Linked DNA regions of Cricetulus griseus. The protein of the gene in region 1 purifies or fractionates together with the protein of each later gene. This does not show direct contact. Links are inferred from orthologs where the notes say so. Each region holds a gene or a part of one and is shown on either strand. Other genes may lie near its edges.

Evidence for each region. The genes of interacting proteins can lie anywhere in the genome.
Region 2: the proteins of Brd8 (region 1) and histone H2A.Z purify together in Homo sapiens (affinity purification with mass spectrometry; 4 studies listed by BioGRID and IntAct, with this or other methods). This does not show direct contact. The link is inferred for Cricetulus griseus from reciprocal best matches to the Homo sapiens genes BRD8 and H2AZ1.
Region 3: the proteins of Brd8 (region 1) and Jazf1 purify together in Homo sapiens (affinity purification with mass spectrometry; 3 studies listed by BioGRID and IntAct, with this or other methods). This does not show direct contact. The link is inferred for Cricetulus griseus from reciprocal best matches to the Homo sapiens genes BRD8 and JAZF1.
Region 4: the proteins of Brd8 (region 1) and Max purify together in Homo sapiens (affinity purification with mass spectrometry; 3 studies listed by BioGRID, with this or other methods). This does not show direct contact. The link is inferred for Cricetulus griseus from reciprocal best matches to the Homo sapiens genes BRD8 and MAX.

What each region holds. Positions count from the first base shown.
Region 1 is NC_048595.1:202,869,450-202,873,164, reverse strand, and holds part of Brd8 (bromodomain-containing protein 8), read right to left. Parts: intron 2,913-3,715; coding exon 2,703-2,912; intron 2,344-2,702; coding exon 2,063-2,343; intron 1,747-2,062; coding exon 1,294-1,746; intron 1,019-1,293; coding exon 925-1,018; intron 728-924; coding exon 681-727; intron 1-680. UniProt on the Homo sapiens protein: May act as a coactivator during transcriptional activation by hormone-activated nuclear receptors (NR). Isoform 2 stimulates transcriptional activation by AR/DHTR, ESR1/NR3A1, RXRA/NR2B1 and THRB/ERBA2.
Region 2 is NW_023276806.1:21,775,314-21,779,729, forward strand, and holds histone H2A.Z, read right to left. Parts: upstream 2,854-4,416; 5' UTR 2,700-2,853; coding exon 2,697-2,699; intron 2,222-2,696; coding exon 2,144-2,221; intron 1,834-2,143; coding exon 1,720-1,833; intron 1,357-1,719; coding exon 1,227-1,356; intron 967-1,226; coding exon 905-966; 3' UTR 527-904; downstream 1-526. UniProt on the Homo sapiens protein: Variant histone H2A which replaces conventional H2A in a subset of nucleosomes. Nucleosomes wrap and compact DNA into chromatin, limiting DNA accessibility to the cellular machineries which require DNA as a template.
Region 3 is NC_048601.1:88,255,734-88,259,907, reverse strand, and holds the start of Jazf1 (juxtaposed with another zinc finger protein 1), read right to left. Parts: upstream 2,854-4,174; coding exon 2,739-2,853; intron 1-2,738. UniProt on the Homo sapiens protein: Acts as a transcriptional corepressor of orphan nuclear receptor NR2C2. Inhibits expression of the gluconeogenesis enzyme PCK2 through inhibition of NR2C2 activity.
Region 4 is NC_048598.1:126,561,294-126,565,643, forward strand, and holds the start of Max (protein max), read left to right. Parts: upstream 1-1,497; 5' UTR 1,498-1,727; coding exon 1,728-1,763; intron 1,764-2,440; coding exon 2,441-2,467; intron 2,468-4,350. UniProt on the Homo sapiens protein: Transcription regulator. Forms a sequence-specific DNA-binding protein complex with MYC or MAD which recognizes the core sequence 5'-CAC[GA]TG-3'. The MYC:MAX complex is a transcriptional activator, whereas the MAD:MAX complex is a repressor.

The DNA.
Region 1 (3,715 bases):
TCTAGAAATGGCCTCACACTTTTTTGGGGAGGTGCTGAGCCCTCTATCACTTATACTACCCTCTACTTAACTGACTAAGTAAGATAAAGTAATTTAGAACCTGGACAAAGAATAAAGCCCAGGATCTTTTTTAAAGGAAGGAAAAAAAAAAAAAAAAAAAAAGCTACTTACTTAAGACTAAGCTAAGAGGCGTTCCTTCTTTCCCCTTGCTCTTGAGAGGAACTCTGACCCTGGGTACAAAGTTATCAAAAATCGTTTTATTTCATGTCTTTGCTGATGGAGCAAGCTCACCTCATATTGCTTTAAATCTGTTACTATTACTTTAGTAATTCTAAGACAAAACCAGATAATTTTCTTTCAATAGTCTAAATTGTAACCTGATTCCCCATATGTTCTTCCTAGTGCCTCTATTCACTCTGAGTCATTCTGGATGTATCAAAATTTCTTTGTGCACTATATTCAGAGAAACTACGTGATCTTTATAGCTCTCACAGGGAAGCACATGTTGCTACTGTACTCCCATCAGGCCAGACTGTCTACTACTGTCTACTACTACTTCCTCATCCAGCTTCCTACCAGTTTTACCAGAAGATATGAATTTACTAAAATTCATTTAATAAGACAGTAGTGTGGGAAAATCTAGTCATATGACAAGAAGAATAAAGAAAAGTCTGAAATACCTTTATCTGGCTTCCAAAAATAGTCCCTGATTCTTCTTTCAATGAGTCTGCAGAGGAGAGAAAGACTACCTGAAGATTTTGTACCTTAGCCTTCCCCTTCCTGTGGACCATGCTCCTTCCCTGCAGCTCTCCTTTCTTTCCATGCTGTCCTGTCCTACTCCTCTACTTACCCACAACCCACAAACCCTGAGAAGCCAAAGGAAAAGATTTCAAGTTAGATACACAGTTCCTATCCTTTACTTACCTGACAATTCAAACTTGTGTTGCGTCTCTGCCTCTAAAGGATCTTCAATAGGATTTGAGCCATGTGATGGAGACAACATGCTTTCAGGGGATGCCTGAAGATCAAAAAAGAGTAAGTATTCTAATTACTAATACACTGTTATTGCTCCCATAATTTTATTCTCCAATGATAATGAGGCCATAGAAGAAATCCTAAGTTCTATTGTCTAATATTTTAACGATCACCTTTTCAAGATAGGGTGAGTATAGTACTAGTTGCAGCCTGTGGCTTTAGGTATGTGCAATATGTCAAGACTCAGAAATTCAAGGGCCTAAGCTGCCTAAGTCATAACCCTCCTTCCCCTCTTCCCAGCCCAGTCATATTAAATACCTCTGTCTTCACAGATGAAAGTGGCATCTCATCGCCTTTCCCATTGGAACCATCTGTTTCACAAATCTCTCCAGCTGCACAACTTCTAGGTTCTTCATCTAAGTCTTGACTTCTGAGTTCTGGTGGCTCCATACTTGAGACTGGACCAGCTCCAGCTACGATCTCTGAGCCTGACATGCCTGGCTCTGGCTCTGCAGGTTCCACCTTAATCTCAACTCCTGACTCCCTGATGTCTACCAGTTCATGAATTCCTTTGTTTTCTGCTTCCTCAAAGTCTAGCCTCTCTTGTTTAACTGTCATCTCTGGTGCTGGAAGAGGTACTGGCTTGTCCCGCTCCTGCTGGATAGGGTGCTCCCAAGGGCCAGGCAGGGACTGCGGATCATCATTTTCTTCACAGAATGACAGTGCTGCTTCTACAGCTGCCACATCCAGGACTTCAGGGTGATCATCAACCTGCCCAAAATACACAAATTGTTGAGAATACAGAAAAAGCCCACATCCCCCAATTTCATAGTACTTTATTAGATGCTGAGTCTAAAGCTATGTTCTCTACCTTTACCATTTAGTGGAAGCAACAAGTGGATAGAAACTTGTGCTGAGCAAACAAGCAAGTGGGATGGCAGAGAAGGTAAGTAGTACATCAGACTACAAAAACGAAAATGGGCAAAAGTACAGTTAAATAATTCTTACTAGGCAAATCAAAGAAAGGAAGAAGAGGGTGGTCTATGTAGTACCTGGGAGACGTTTTAGTATTTTGTTAAATAGTTACCTTGTCCTCAATGATGGCAATGATGTCTCCAACTGTTTCAAAGTCCAACTCTTCACCTGTGTAAGACACAGCAATATCCATCTTCTCGGCCAGATCTAAATCTTCCTTCCCATCTATGCTTGGAGCCTTTGATCCACCAGGAGCCTCTGCTACCCCTGACCGGAAACATTCTTCTTTGATAGAATTAATGATCATCGAGATTTCACTGCTATCCATGGAAACAGTCACAGTATGTGGATCCCCGACAGCTTCCAGGGGAACACAGGTGTCAGGCTGATTCACTAATTAACAAGAAGAAAGAAGCAACTCAGAAGCTTATCCATTATTAAGTGTGGTACCACCCCGATATCACACCAGAGCTGTAGACACCTAAAGTAAAAAACTCACTTCTGCCCATGTTTTCTTCTCCTTCATTTTATTTTCAAAGTAAGGTGAGAATACGCTCTCAAGCCTGCTTATATTTCTACACTTAACCTTCCCCACCCAACTCAAAAGATACCCACCCACTTTGACCCTTGCTTTTTTAAGGGTAAAGATGATTTAAGCCTATTGAAAACAGAAGAGAAGCATCTAAACAGGAGACAATGCTCTTGGTCAACTTTCTCTAACTAAAGTTTGGTCCTGTGGGTCAGGGACGAACCTGGAGCTACACTTTCAGGAGTGGAGACAGCCGGAGCAGAGGATGGTGTTGACAGCGGAGGCATCATGACAATGGTAGCCTGGGACACAGACTCTACAGGGGGTGGCACAAGTTTAACTGGAGGCTCACTGGCAACAGTAGTGAAGGAAGGAAGAGGAGTGGTGAACTGTGTAGGACCAGCTTCTAAAAGCCGGGAAAGAGTGGGAGCACCTAACAGACAAAGAGGTACACAAAATGAGGAAAGAAAGCACATAAACAAGAAGCAATAGCCACTCTAGGACTTAATCAAGAATTTTGTTTATAGTTTCAAAGAATGAAAGTAACTCCTGTATTGAATAAACTCATAACTACACCCCTACTTTCTTTAACCTCTTCTAAAAATCTTCCTCCAAGCTATGATCCCAAGTGCCCAATTATACACTGTATATATTAAAAACAAGTAGTTATTTTCTCTGAGGAAAAATAAGCAACAATAAAATAAAATGACTAGTATGACAGGCAAGAGGCTGAGGAACAAAGAGTTCCATGGCTACAAAGTGAAATCCTGGACAGCCTGACCTCAATATCAAGACCCTGTCTCAAAAACAAAAACAAAACAAAAAACAAAAAAAAAACAAAAAAAGGAAGAAAAAGAAAAGTGAGAAAAAAAAACCCTGCCACTTCTGCTAAAGTTGAGCACTCTATAAATCAATTATCTTTAATCAAGTATCAATGTGTTTTATTTTGGGTTTTGAGACAGGGTTTCCGTGTACCAGGTTGGCCTTGAACTCACCGAGATCCACCTGCCTCTGCCTCCTAGGATGCTGGGATTAAAGGCGTGTGCCATCACACCCCACCCAATTACATGCTATTACTATTTTTGTCTCACATTTTCTATGTCATTTAATCCTTAACACATCCCTGTGAAGTATATATGCCACCATTAATAAAATAGGAAACTAAGTCTCAATATAGTTAAGCTGCCCAAGATCACAAAACCAATAGTATGCTAGGTCTGAGATTCAAACCAGGTC
Region 2 (4,416 bases), on another chromosome or scaffold:
TTTGGCTAGTCAGCTGTAACTCTTGAGCAGGAAGCAGTTCTCTCATCTGCAGAGGTTGCATGCATACCACCTCCTGTTACCAATTTTTGCCTCAGAAAGGAGCACGCATGTTGTCTCGGTAGGGTGAAAGGGGCAGATGCGTTTTCTCAAGCTCTTAAGGAACATGCCTGATATGTATCAATGTTTTCATCATGTTACCCTAGTCTATGAAAATAGCACGCATCCCCTGTGACTAGCATTTCACAGTTGACAACAGTGTCTGGTCACTGAGAATGATTTAACTTCTACATCTTAAGTTCATTCTGTGGAGGTTATTATGTTATACCTGGGGGTCTCTACCGGTCCAGCTGTCCCAAATTGTGATACAGTGCCTTTCACAGTTACTGTGAATGTCCAACAGCATGCCTAGTTCATTATGACAAATTGGTTATGACTTGTTGGTCTACAGATGAAGTGTTTGATTAGTAAGCAAAGAAGGTAGGGGAGCTGAATGAGATCTAGTAGTAATCATCAAGCAAGTTTAAAACTAGTTTGGGATATGACCTTTATTGAGCTTATCCACCAGAGTGGAAATAATGTCTGTACAAAACCAAATGTTTGTTACTATAACTTCTGCATCACAATTAAAATCCAAACAGTTTTTTAAAAACAGTCAACTCAATCAAAACCCACTACTTCAGAATCAATAGCTTCTTTGAAGCCACAGTAACACTTAAATATGGTTAAGACTCGAATGCAGAAATTTGGTTGGCTGGAAGGCTAATTAAGCCTCCAACTTGCTCAAATAGAATTACAAAAAGGCAAAATTGTGTTTTTCACAGAGATACAGTCCACTGGAATCACCGACACTGGACAGCTGTTAAGAATATTTAGAGTCCTGAGATAATAAGGAATCCAGGCATCCTTAGACAGTCTTCTGTTGTCCTTTCTTTCCAATCAGAGATTTGTGGATGTGTGGGATGACACCTAGGAAAGTGACAAGGATTAATTCTACTTTTTGTAGAAACATTTTGAAACAGTACATGAAATCAAAGCAGGTAAATCTACAACTTGAAAGGTCTTAAAAAAAAATTCAAACATAAAGTAAAATGATGAATGATGTTGTGTAAACCAAATTCCATAAACCACCATGATTTATAAAATATATTTAAATGCCCTCTTCTGGAAGCAATGAAAATGTAGGAATTTTCTTATTGGAAAGTAACCGAGTGTCAGTGATAACATACCACCACCAGCAATTGTAGCCTTGATCAGAGAGTCCAATTCTTCATCCCCGCGAATAGCAAGTTGCAAGTGACGAGGGGTAATACGCTTTACCTTTAAGTCTTTTGATGCATTTCCTGCCAATTCTAGTACCTAAAAGGCAAAATTCTGATCAATTTTCCAATTCCCTTCAGTCAAGATCCAGGAAGCTGGCTAAACGTCAGTGGTGTTTAACCCACCAACTGTCGTCATCCCCCCACTACCTGAATGACAAAACTATGCAAATGATGCAAAGGACTGAAGGGGCACGCAATTGCTTTTGCAACAGCAGCAAACTCTGGCTCAGCGGGATCCTTGGCTGAACACTAGCTCCCTCTAGCGCCCTCTCTCTGCCTAAGCGCCGCGCTTAGGGCCTGGGAGTTTTCTTGCATCACTTTCCTCCTTCCCTCTCGCCCACTTTCCCCCCCCCGCCCCCCAAACCTTTTCCAGATCACAGGCATACTCACTCCCGCTTACCTCTGCGGTGAGGTACTCCAGGATGGCTGCGCTATACACAGCGGCGGTCGCGCCCACACGGCCGTGGCTGGTTGTCCTAGATTTCAGGTGTCGATGAATACGGCCCACAGGGAACTTGATTTTTTTTTATGCACACAAACAAAAATGCACAAAGATAGAGGAGATTCAGAGATGGAAAGATGATGCGCGCGCGCGCCAAAGCCAAGGACGGTGGTGCACCAAGGCGCCCGGGCAGTTAGCACACGCGATCGACGCCCCCCCCACCAGCCCCCGCCGCCCCAACATTCAGTCTCCGAAGGCCAAGTCGCGACACATCACCCACGCAAAAGATGGAACACCCATGCGAGGCGCCGACAAACAAGCCAGGGGGTGCAAAGATAAAGGCCGGGTCACCCGGGCTGCGTCTGCGGCAGCAGCTGCCTACCTGCAAGCCGGCTCTCTGCGAGCGGGAAACCGCCTTTGTCTTGGCCTTTCCGGAGTCCTTTCCAGCCTTACCGCCAGCCTGCGGCGCCGCCGACGCCCGCGAGCCCGGGAGGGACGGAGAGGATAGAATTACCAAGGCGGCGCGGAGCGGCGCGCCCCTCCCCCACGGCCGCGCGTCCCGGAGGCGGGCGAGCGAGCAGGCGGGCGGGCGGGCGGCGGGCGCGCGCTCGCGGCCCGCCGGGGTCTCCGGGCCGCCGCTCGCCCCCGCCCTCTCTCCCCGCCCGCCCGCCGACCCCCGCCGCGCGCCCCGCGCGCGCCCCGCGCCGGCTCCCAGCTGCGCCGCGCGCGCCCCCCTCCAACCGTCGCCTCCCTCCCGGAGCTCCGAGCTCAACCAAACACCTCCCTCCGCTCGTCCCCGACCCGTCTCCGCACGCTCCCGCCCGCCGCCGCCGCCTCGCCCAAGCCCCGGCGACGGCGGCCCCGCCCGCTCCAAGCCCGCAGCTCGCGGCCGCCGCCGCCCCCCGCCCGGCGGCCCGCCGTCACTCTCACGTTACCATCTCGGACCGTGCTGAAGATCGCACAAGCGAGCAAGAGACGAGGCCAGGCGGACGCACAGCGAGATCCCGGCGCCCACTCCTCCGTCGTACCGCGATTCAAACTGCGCCGTCTCCCGCCTTCCTCGCGCCCTTTATACCGCAGAATGTTCCCTCATCCGGGAACTCGGCTGGCTCGGCCCACCAATGGTCGCCGCCCGCCTTCGGGACGCGTCCTTGAGGCTCCGGCCAATGGGAGGGCGCGAAGCAGGGTGGTGGGGCGGGCGCTCGCGAGCTCGAGCCGTGATTGGCGCGCGAGGGGTGGGGAGGGGGAAGAGTGGGGGAGGCGGCGGGACGGGACCGGGAGGGGAAGGGCGCCGCGGCGGGAGGGCAGACACAGAGCCCTGCGCCACCGAGGAGGGAGCGCGGGCGAGCGCGAGAGCGGACGCGGGGTCACGTGCCTGGAGGGCGGGGCTGAGAGGCTGGGGACGGGCGCGCGGGCGTCCTCCCGCGGTGTGCGGGAGACCACGTGAGCTCGCCTCCCGGTCCAGCCTGGGCCTCGCAGCGTCCTCCGGTCGGCCTGGCCGTCCCCCCCCCCTCCCCGCAGACCTCGGTTCCCCGCGGGCCCCTCCTTTGTGACAGGTGGCGCGAAGGCCTCCAGTGAGAGGAGCTCGGCTCGGCCCGCACTTGCTGAAGCACTTCCCTGAGAGACCGTCTCTTACCCCCGCCGGAGGTTGTTTTTCATCTTCCTCCGCTCCGGTCCTCACCTCTTTTGACCGCCCCCCTCACCCTCCCATCCTGTCTCGTAACAACCGTGGGGGTCAAGTTACCTTGGTGATAACAAATAATTTTGTCTACACACAGGAAGCTCAGGATGAAGCGTTATTATAATGAAATCATCAGCCATAATTTTGCCGAGAGAGACTCCACATCAATGGGGATGCGCCTATAGCCTGGTGTCTAAAGTTGATTTATTGAATCATCAAAGCTATTATGTGTCAGCTTTCCGACACTAAACATTTTGCCACATGAAAAATGTTGGGTAAATGTCAGTGGGGTAACTGTAACATGATTCACAAGCAGCCACAGATGGTTCATGTAATCAATTACAAATGCCGGGCTTAAAAAAGAAAAAGTAGGACTGTACGTACACACGGTCCTGTCCTGATGCCAGTCACTTAGACGTGCAGTTAGCAGGTCGACAATCCCTGTGTACATCACTTAGCTGCTTGGAGACCATAATGATCTAAATCTTTCATATTTACAGTACTTAATGTTTAACTCTTTAAATAAGAAAAATTATTGTGTGGGTGGTTGCAGGTGCACATGCCATGAAGACTTTGTGGAAATCAGATGACAACCTGTGGAGTGGGCTCTCCCTCTCTCCACCTGTACATGGGTTGCAGGGATGGAACTCAAGCATGCTTACACAGCACTTTTACCCATGGAGTCATCACCAGCTCAACGGTACATTACACTTTTTATGTAATTGAATAGTAATGTGAAGAGAATTTTGAAGCATAAACTCTATATTTGGGCTTCAGTTTGAAATGTTTTATGAAATTTGAGGCCCTCTCTGGTGCCAGGAGATTAATGGCTAGAGGAGAGGCTCCCAGCAGTTTTGATGCCATGGCTTATTGGAACTAAAGAATTATAGTGATGCCATCATATGATGACAATTAAAAAAAAAAAACTGTGAATCTACAATCCCAGCACTTAGTAGGCTGCATCAGGAGAATCA
Region 3 (4,174 bases), on another chromosome or scaffold:
AATACTTAGGCTGTTCATTGAGATGGGAATTCACTACAGTGCTGAACTAACAGGAAGACGAAAGGAATAAAAGCAGAAAGCAAATCAGAACAGGTACAGTGTCTTTAAGGAGAAAAACAGCTTAAGACAAGGGCTTCTGGAAGCACATTTCTTTTGTCTTTGATGTCACAGACCCTTGTTCCTTACTAAAAATGGGAAGAGGCAAAAACGAGTTGCGGATGGCACTTCGAGGTAAAACCAATGTGTTCTGAAGGTGACAAGGCAGTCAGAACCGCCATGCATATAAAAAAGCAGCTAAGTACACCTTCATAAGGAAGACTGTCATCCACAACTTAATGTAGTTACAGTGAAAACTACAGGCTTTGAAATTTCTGTCTGTGCTTTTGACTAGCGATTAAATGGTAACAGTTCAAAAAGAGTCATATCTCTCACCCTCTCAAGGTTATATACAAGACTAAATAAGAACCTTGAATGAAAGTAAAATAACATGCACATCTTGGGTCTTTCCATGAATCTTTAATGTGGCCACTAGCTAATTAAGACATTAAATCAGTAAAGCAACCATTTAAAAAAAAATCTCATTATCTCCAAAAGTGTATGAAGGAAATCACAATAAATAATAAAAATGTAGAGTTTTCATGGAACTTATTTTAACTCTTACCTCTCCATTCAAAGTGTATTTAAACAGTACCAGCTAACCTAGATATTATTCTTGGTGGGATCAATTCCTATCTCTATCTGTATGGCTGGCTGCCCTTCAAAGGTAAGGGGCCTCTTCTCATCTGAAACACACAGCCGTTCCAGTGTGCTTGGAATCAAGTGTTTGCTCTTTTAACATCTATTTTCAGTAACTTTGCTGGATCAAACTATTTCCCAAGTATAATTAATTATTATCTCTGCCAAACAACTAACTTAAGTTTTCAATACTTTCACTATAAAAAGAAAAATATTAGCCCTTTGGGAGTAAGATATCATCCGTTAGAAGTTTAGTTTCAGAAAATTCATAAACCCTTGACCCTCCTAAAAGATATCTGAACAATATTGGGACAACCTCTACCAACTCAAGAAAGAGACTGCTAGTCTAAATAATCTGATTGCAAGTTAATTCAAAAGAATAATTGTGTTTAATTCATGTTAACACTTAATTAAATATTTATATTTTCTTTTAATCAGCTAGTAGTCTAAGTAGGTAAGCAACCAGGTAAATTACTCAACTTACATGAATTTTTGTTTATCCTGATATAACTGATGAAATGGATGGGACAATCAATGAGTTTTCTATAGGTCAGGGGCTACCATTCACACATATTTACATAATGCATATTTGTGTATTTCTATTATTTACATTTATCATCCCCATTTAGTTTAAGAAGTTAAGAGTGAACCAAGAATTCTTCTTTTGAAACTCGCTAGAGTTTAAGCCGTGATGAGAAAACTTGCTTTATACTTGAAGCACTTTTAGTTATGACTACTCAGTTATGATATGAATCAGCAGGTTTGCAACTCTATCAAAACACTTTTAAGATCACCAAAACTTGAGAGCCTAGCTCTTTTATCTCACTTTTATCAGAAGAGATGGGAAAAGCTATTAAGGAGATATTTTCAAACTTTGAAAATTTCAAAGCCTGACAATTACTCATCAGAATTCTGTTTCCAATGGCACCTTGCAAACAATTTTCACGATTTAGTTCCCATTCTGGACAGCCCATCAAATCCTGTTCTACACAGGCACTTCCCGCTCACTAAGCGCCCACTGTGTGCAAGGAGAAAGCATTCTACAAAGCAAAGGGGCAAAAAGCTCTGTGTCATTTCATTCGTGCATAAATGCACAGCAGTCGTGATTTACTCTCTCAACTTTGCAGAAACGTGAGCTGCATCCACATGGCCCAATCGATTGCATTCATGTGGTCTTCCCAAGGCAATTCACAGGTAGCCTCCTCACCCAGGCAGCCCGAGGCCCTCTTCACCTTCCAAACCCACAGGGCCACACCTTTTGCAGGTGGCTGGGTCTCCTGAGCCAGAAGCACCCGACCTGGCATCTCCCTCCGCAGAGAGGCAGGGATGAGCGTGCAAACGTGGTGCAAGGACTTCCGCGAGGCGCAGCACTCAGAAGGTCCCAGGGTCCCGGGAGACCCAGCCGGCCCCGCAGGGCGCCCCTCCCCGCGTCCCCGCGCCAGCGCCGCGCAGGCCCCGCGGGTCCGGGCGCACCTCCGGCCTAGCCGCAACGCCGCGCCGCGCCACGCCGCTCGCCGCCCGGGCTCCGCTCCGCCGCCCGGGGCCTCGGGGCGCTCCGGACGGGGATGGGCGCGGCCCGCAGGCGTCCGAACCGCAGCGGCAGCGCCAGGCCGGGCCCCGCGCCCCGCGCCGCTCCGAGCTCGCAGCGCCCCGCGCCTGCCGCCGCCGCGGCCCCCTCCCGCCGCGCCACACCTAGCAACCGGCGCTGACAGGACGCAGGCGGGGGAGGAAGCGGAATGGCTGCCGCGGCGGCGCCCTCCCCGGCTCCCGCCAGCCTGACAGCTCGGGCCGGGCGGAAGCGGCGTGCGGCACCCGCCCCCCCGCGGCCCGCGCCCCGCCCTCGCCTCGCCCTGCGGCCGGCCACCCCCGCCCGCCCGCCCGCCCGCGCCCCGCGGCCCTCCACGCCCGCACCTTTCGGGCGCCCGGCCGCCCGCGCCCCCGAGGCTCGCCCGCCGCCGCCGCCGCGCCGCCCGACCCCTCCCCGCCCGCCCACCGGGCCTCACCGATGTGGTTGTCCTCGATGTGCTCGATGAGGTCGGCCAGCGTGGGGAAGTGGAGTCCGCAGCCCCCGAAGCGGCAGGTGTTGGAGAAGAAGGAGGCGGCGGCGATGCCTGTCATGGTGCTACATCGAGAGCCCCCCGGAGTCGGCTCTGCGAGCGCCGCGCGCGGAGGCGGAGGGAGGGAGGGAGGGGCCGGGGAGGGGGCAGGCGCGGGGAGGGCAGCGCGAGCCCGGGACGGAGGAGAGGGGGCGCGAGGTGGAGCGCAGCGCCCAGCCTCCCGGAGGCAGCGGGAGGCGGCGGGAGCTCGGGGAGGGGGCGGGGAGGACTCGGCGGCTGGGAGGAGGGACCAGGCGCGCGCGCCTGCAGCTGTGCGGGCCCCAACCTCCGCGACCCAGGCCTCACCTGGCTGCGCCCGCCTCCAACTTTACGTTTCCCCGGGCCTGCCCTTCGCAGCGGGAGGTGCCCGCGGTCCGCTGGGAGCCTCCTTGGTTGCGTGCATTACATTCTTAATAGATGGACATCTATTAATTACACATGGTTCCCTCCGATGAGCGCTCAGGGAGTTACCTACCGGACCCTCTCGGGGACATTTGTTTGCACTTGGCCACCTGTCTAGGTGTGACAATGACATTCACTAGGGAACCAGGAAAGGTAATTGTGTGCACCTTATTCTTTAAACTTTCTCATTTAAAAAAAAATTTAAAAGTCCGTATTCTCGGGAGGTTTGTACTAATTAATGGATTTTAATGAAGTTTTCCCCCTAGGCCAGAAGAAAAATCTTAGCTTTATTTAAATTTCAAAATAGAGTGCTTGGTTGTCAAGTGCATTTGACTGTGTTTTACATATGTGTCACGTTTGTTCTCCCTGATTCTTCTGAGAAAACAAAAATTTCAAATAATTTCTTTACTCCAAATTACAACACCCACTGCTGCTCTGACAGTACTGCTCCACGGCAGAAAGGGCAGCATAATGGTTTAGAAACAGTCAAAGCATACTCGATTTGCACTTAAAAGTGAAGACTTCACCATCTTGTGAGCATTTAAACCATAATGATGACCAGTTAACCTCTTAAGAATCAGTTACCTTCTGGTCCCATCCCCAGTTGCAGTTATATTTTACCTACAAGGTATATATTTTCTTGGGCATATTTCCAGATGCCCAGGAAGCATTATACATGATTCAAGAGTGCAGTTTTTAAAAATTAATTCATTCAGTCTGAATTTAGCATTTTTCCTTAGGACAATTCCATTTACCCTCTGGTATGTTATACCAAAAAAAAAAAAGTAATCCTCTCTTTTTAAACTATATATACCACTGTGTTATTTCTAATAATAGGATTGTTAAAGCACTTCGTGTAAGTTTAAACACTGGCATATGTGGTATTTCTGTCACTGAGAAAAATTTCACAATCTCCCAGTCACAAAGATTGAGGCTGAGTT
Region 4 (4,350 bases), on another chromosome or scaffold:
TCCTAGCATGTTAAGTGTCTGCTTATGACTGTGTTCTCAACACTAGGCTTGGCTACACAGCTATTTCAGGCCAGCCTGGGGTAGATGTCACAAAGATTTTGTTATACCATCAAGTTTCTGCCTTCAATAGTCAGGGATAAAACCTATTTTCACTTGGGCTGGAGTGATGGCTCAGAGGTTAAGAGCACTGACTGTTTTTCCAGGGGTCCTGAGTTCATTTCCCAGCAACCACAACCATCTGTTGGCTCACAACCATCTGTTATGAGGTCCAGTGCCCTATTCTGATGTGCAGATATACATGGAAGCAGAATGTTGTATACGTAATAAATAAATAGATAGATAGATAGATAAAATGTAAAACAAAACAAAACAAAACAAAACTGTTTTCACTCAGGAATCAGTAACTCATAGCCCAAACCCAAGACTTCATTCATTTTGGAAACCAGTTGTAAATTAACCAGTTTGGTTAATTTCTCTGGTGATAGAAGGTGCCTTTATTATTTTTCTTTCATCAAGGAAGGACCTGGTGCACACTGAAAATGGTGGCAGGGTAGTCCGGTTTTCGCTTCCACAAGCTGTGAGATCTTTGAGGGGCCCTGTTCAGTCGTACCCATCACGGCATGCCTGTTCTGCCACATTAGATAATAAATACTGGTGGGATGTAGTCATGCTTCATACCTCGGTGTATAAATATGACTTTGGTTGGACAGGGAGCCGCACAACTTTCCCGTTTTTATTCTTTCTGCAGTTCTTAATTAAGGTTCTCCCGCACTGGGGCACTCCTTCATCTGCATGGGCTACGACAAACAGTTGGGTTTTATTTACTTCCACCTAAGCGAGATTTTGTAAACATTCAAGCCGAGTAAGGACGGTCCTCTCGGACAAATGAAAGCAAAATTCTTGGGACTAAGTGTACCCCGGCGAGGCAGGTCCTTTAGCTTGTCCTGTATCGCCTCTTAACTCCCCCAAACTAGATCCCGAGGGTCCGCGTGGGCATCCCGACCGCGCCCCCTGGCCAGCAGCAGCTTGATTCCTTCCCGTGAGGGTTACGCCCCAGGGCGCAAGTGGAGCGACTCAAGCGTTAAACAAGACAATGTAAAAGCAGTCTAGCCAAGAAGAGACAGTGTTATTTTGGCAGCTAGCTTCTCCCCCTGAGCCTCCACCCAATCCCTTGGGCCAGGCGCCCAGAGCTCAGACTGTGGCCGGCTCCAGAAGCCCAGCTCCCTCCACGTGTCCTGTCTTCCCAGCAGCCTCTCCGCCGCTTGGGGAGGAAAATCTCCTGACAACTCGCGGTCTGTGGACTACATCTCCCGGGAGGCACCGCGCCACTTCTCGCACCCACCACCGGCGCGCACGCGCCCTGCGCTCTGTCAACAAGCGGGGCTGGTGAAGATTGTGTGCGCTTCCTGATGGGATTTGTAGTTTCTCCGGCGCTCTCCGACCTGCCCATCAGACGCTCGAGGACTACAAGTCTCGGCTCTCCCGGCGCGGAGAGTCCGGTCACGTGTCAGGGGGCCGACCGGGCGTGCGTGCCGCCGTTGATCGGGTGCTGCAGTGAGGTGGTTGTCGCCCGTGTTGTGTGTGTGTGAGTGTGTGTGAGTGAGTGAGTGAGTGAGTGAGTGTGTGCGTGGGGGCACTCGGCTTGTTGTTGTCGGTGACTTCCCCCTTCCCTCCACCCCTCCCCTCCCCGGCCGCCGCTGCAGTGGCCGCTCCCTGGGCCGTAGGAAATGAGCGATAACGATGACATCGAGGTGGAGAGCGACGTGAGTCCCGGGGCTTCTTCCTTTCCGTTCGGGTTGTCAGGCGGGGACAGCGGCCGGGGCCCTCAGCGGGGCGACGGCGGGAGGGGGCCGGGTCGCCGCCGCCTCCGTCCCCTTCCCCCGGGGCCGGGACCGCCTGCGTCGCGCTCCGCGCTCGCTCCCCTCCAGTCCTGTCCGGAGAGGCCTCCTGGGACTGAAGGTGGGAGCAGACACGCGGCCTCTGGGACCCCCACCTCCTCCCGTGGAGGAGGGTGCCGAGGCCTCCCTCTCCACTCTATCCGGCTGGGGATCCCATTATCCGTCCGGATCCTGGGCAAGGAGACCAGCGCTCAGGACCTGCTTCTTGGGTCCACGATCTCCTTTTACCCGTGGACCCGTTGATCCTGGGGGTGAGGGGACTGGGAGTGAGTGCTCTGACTCCCGAGGGGGGTCCGGGGAGAGCAGTGTGCTCCGGACCCCTCTTGTCCGGTTCGGATGCCAGAAAGAGGGGCGGCGCCTGGGACCCCCACCAGGCTGCGGGATCCCGCTGGAGAGAGTGGAGGGGAAAGAGGGAGGGAGGGGTGTCGGGCTGACTCCCCACCCGCTGCTTCCTCCGCCGCCGGCATTTTCTTTCTTATTATTGAATTCGAAGTGTAAAAATAACTTCTATATTTTCTATTTTTTTTTCTCTCTTATTCCAGGAAGAGCAACCGAGGTTTCAATCTGCGGTACGTCTCCTACTCTCCATTTCATTTTCATTTCCGTTCAGTTTTGGTCCTTTTTGGAGTCAGAGAGAAAAAGTGATCGTTCTTTATTTTTTAATATTCTTGTAAACTCTCCTCTTAACCGCTAAGGTGAGGTGGAGTCAGCTGGGGTTGGAGGTGGGGGGGTGGGGGGCTGCAAATCCTATGATTCTGGCTTCTCAGGTGGTAGATCCTAGTGAGTAGGTAGGTGAGTGAGAGAGCGAGCCCCATGCTAAAACTGAGTTGTTCTGGAGTGTTCAGTTAAGGATGCAGCCCAGGCACGTGAGAAGTGAAGGGTAGTGTTATTTCAGAGCAGACTTACAGGTCAGGTTTACTTAGGAGCAAGTAAGCTTTAAGCACTATCTGCACAGTTGTGTGAAGCTGCAAGCACAGTAATAATCGCCTTTAGCCAAAGTCACATGACTGCCACCACAGACTCTTAAAACTAGAAAAGCATGCTATTCTCAACAATAGCAACAACAACAAAATAGAAACAGGGAGGAGCCAGAAGTTAAATCTTGAAAGTGTCACAGCTTCTTGTGGTCTGACTTTCCATTTGAGAAGAAAAAAAAAAAAAAAGGTTGAAAAGTGGCATTGTAGGAGACAGCTACGCTAAAAGGTGTCCGGATGAGTCCATACAGTGTTACCAGTAACTTCTTAGGGTTTTGATGTTAAAGCTTTTTGTAGGTGTCTCTCTGGTGGATTTGGGTTGACACCATGAGCTCTTGTCTTTAGAGTCTGAGACTTAGTAGTAAATGGGTATAGATTAGGGAGAGGGAAGAAGACTGAGAATACATCCAGATCAGAAGAGAGACGACAAGTGTTATATTTGATAGTTGGCAATGGTGAAAAGGGTGTACAGGGAGGGCCATAATGCCTTTGCCTGTGGGGATTAGGTAATGAGGTAGTCAAGGATAGAGGGAGAGGTAAGGACTGGGATACTGAGGAATGCATGCCCCTTGTAGAAAGTCCGAAGCCACCTAGCTCTGGTGCTTGCTGTATGAGAGTGAGCTCAGTGTTGCTAGGTCTTATTGTTATTTCAGGGCTGGGGTTAGACCCTTTACCACTGAGCCACACTCCCTCGATTTTCCTACTTTAAGAGAAATGTTAAAATGCTAGAAACAGATTATTATTTTTCCAGTGTATTTGCGTGTAGTTTTTGGCTATTCTGGGACTTGAACCCAGGGCCCTCGGCATGCCCGGGGCCTGGCTATAACCTCAGCCTACTCAATTGATTTTTTAAGGTTACATTCACTTATTTAATGTGTGTTTGTGATTGTGTGCATGCCATGGCTCACATGTAACGGTCAGAGGACAACTTGAGGGAGTGGGGTTTCTCCTTCCAGCATGTGGGTCTGGGGTTGAACTTAGGATCATCAGGTTTGGCCTCAACAACTTTACCCACGAAGCTATTTGATTTTTAAATGATATGTGGAACAGCTGTTTGGGGGCTTATAGAGAATTAGCTGGATGCAACTAGGCTTGGTTGCCCAGTCCCGTGAACGCCCTTACTCGGGATGCCGAGGTAGGAAGATCAGAAGTTCAGGCCTGTTTTCAGCAATTTATTGAGGCCCAGCCTTAACATACCAAAAAAAAAAAAAAAAAAGAGTCCACGGTTGTATCCAGTTCTGTAGGCCCAGTGCTTAGGAGGCTTTGGCAGAGGGTTGCCCTGGTTTAGAGGCTGGCCTGAGCTACAGAATGAGATTCTGTCTCAAACAAACAAGAGCTCTCTACCTTTGTCTCTCTCTCTCGCTTGGGAATTTAGCTCCTTAGGACACTTAACTTTCAGTAGGCCCTGGTTCATCCCTAGCACTGAAGTTTGCAGGGTGCCACTTTGATAGCTCTGCTGCAGGACTTTAGTAATCACA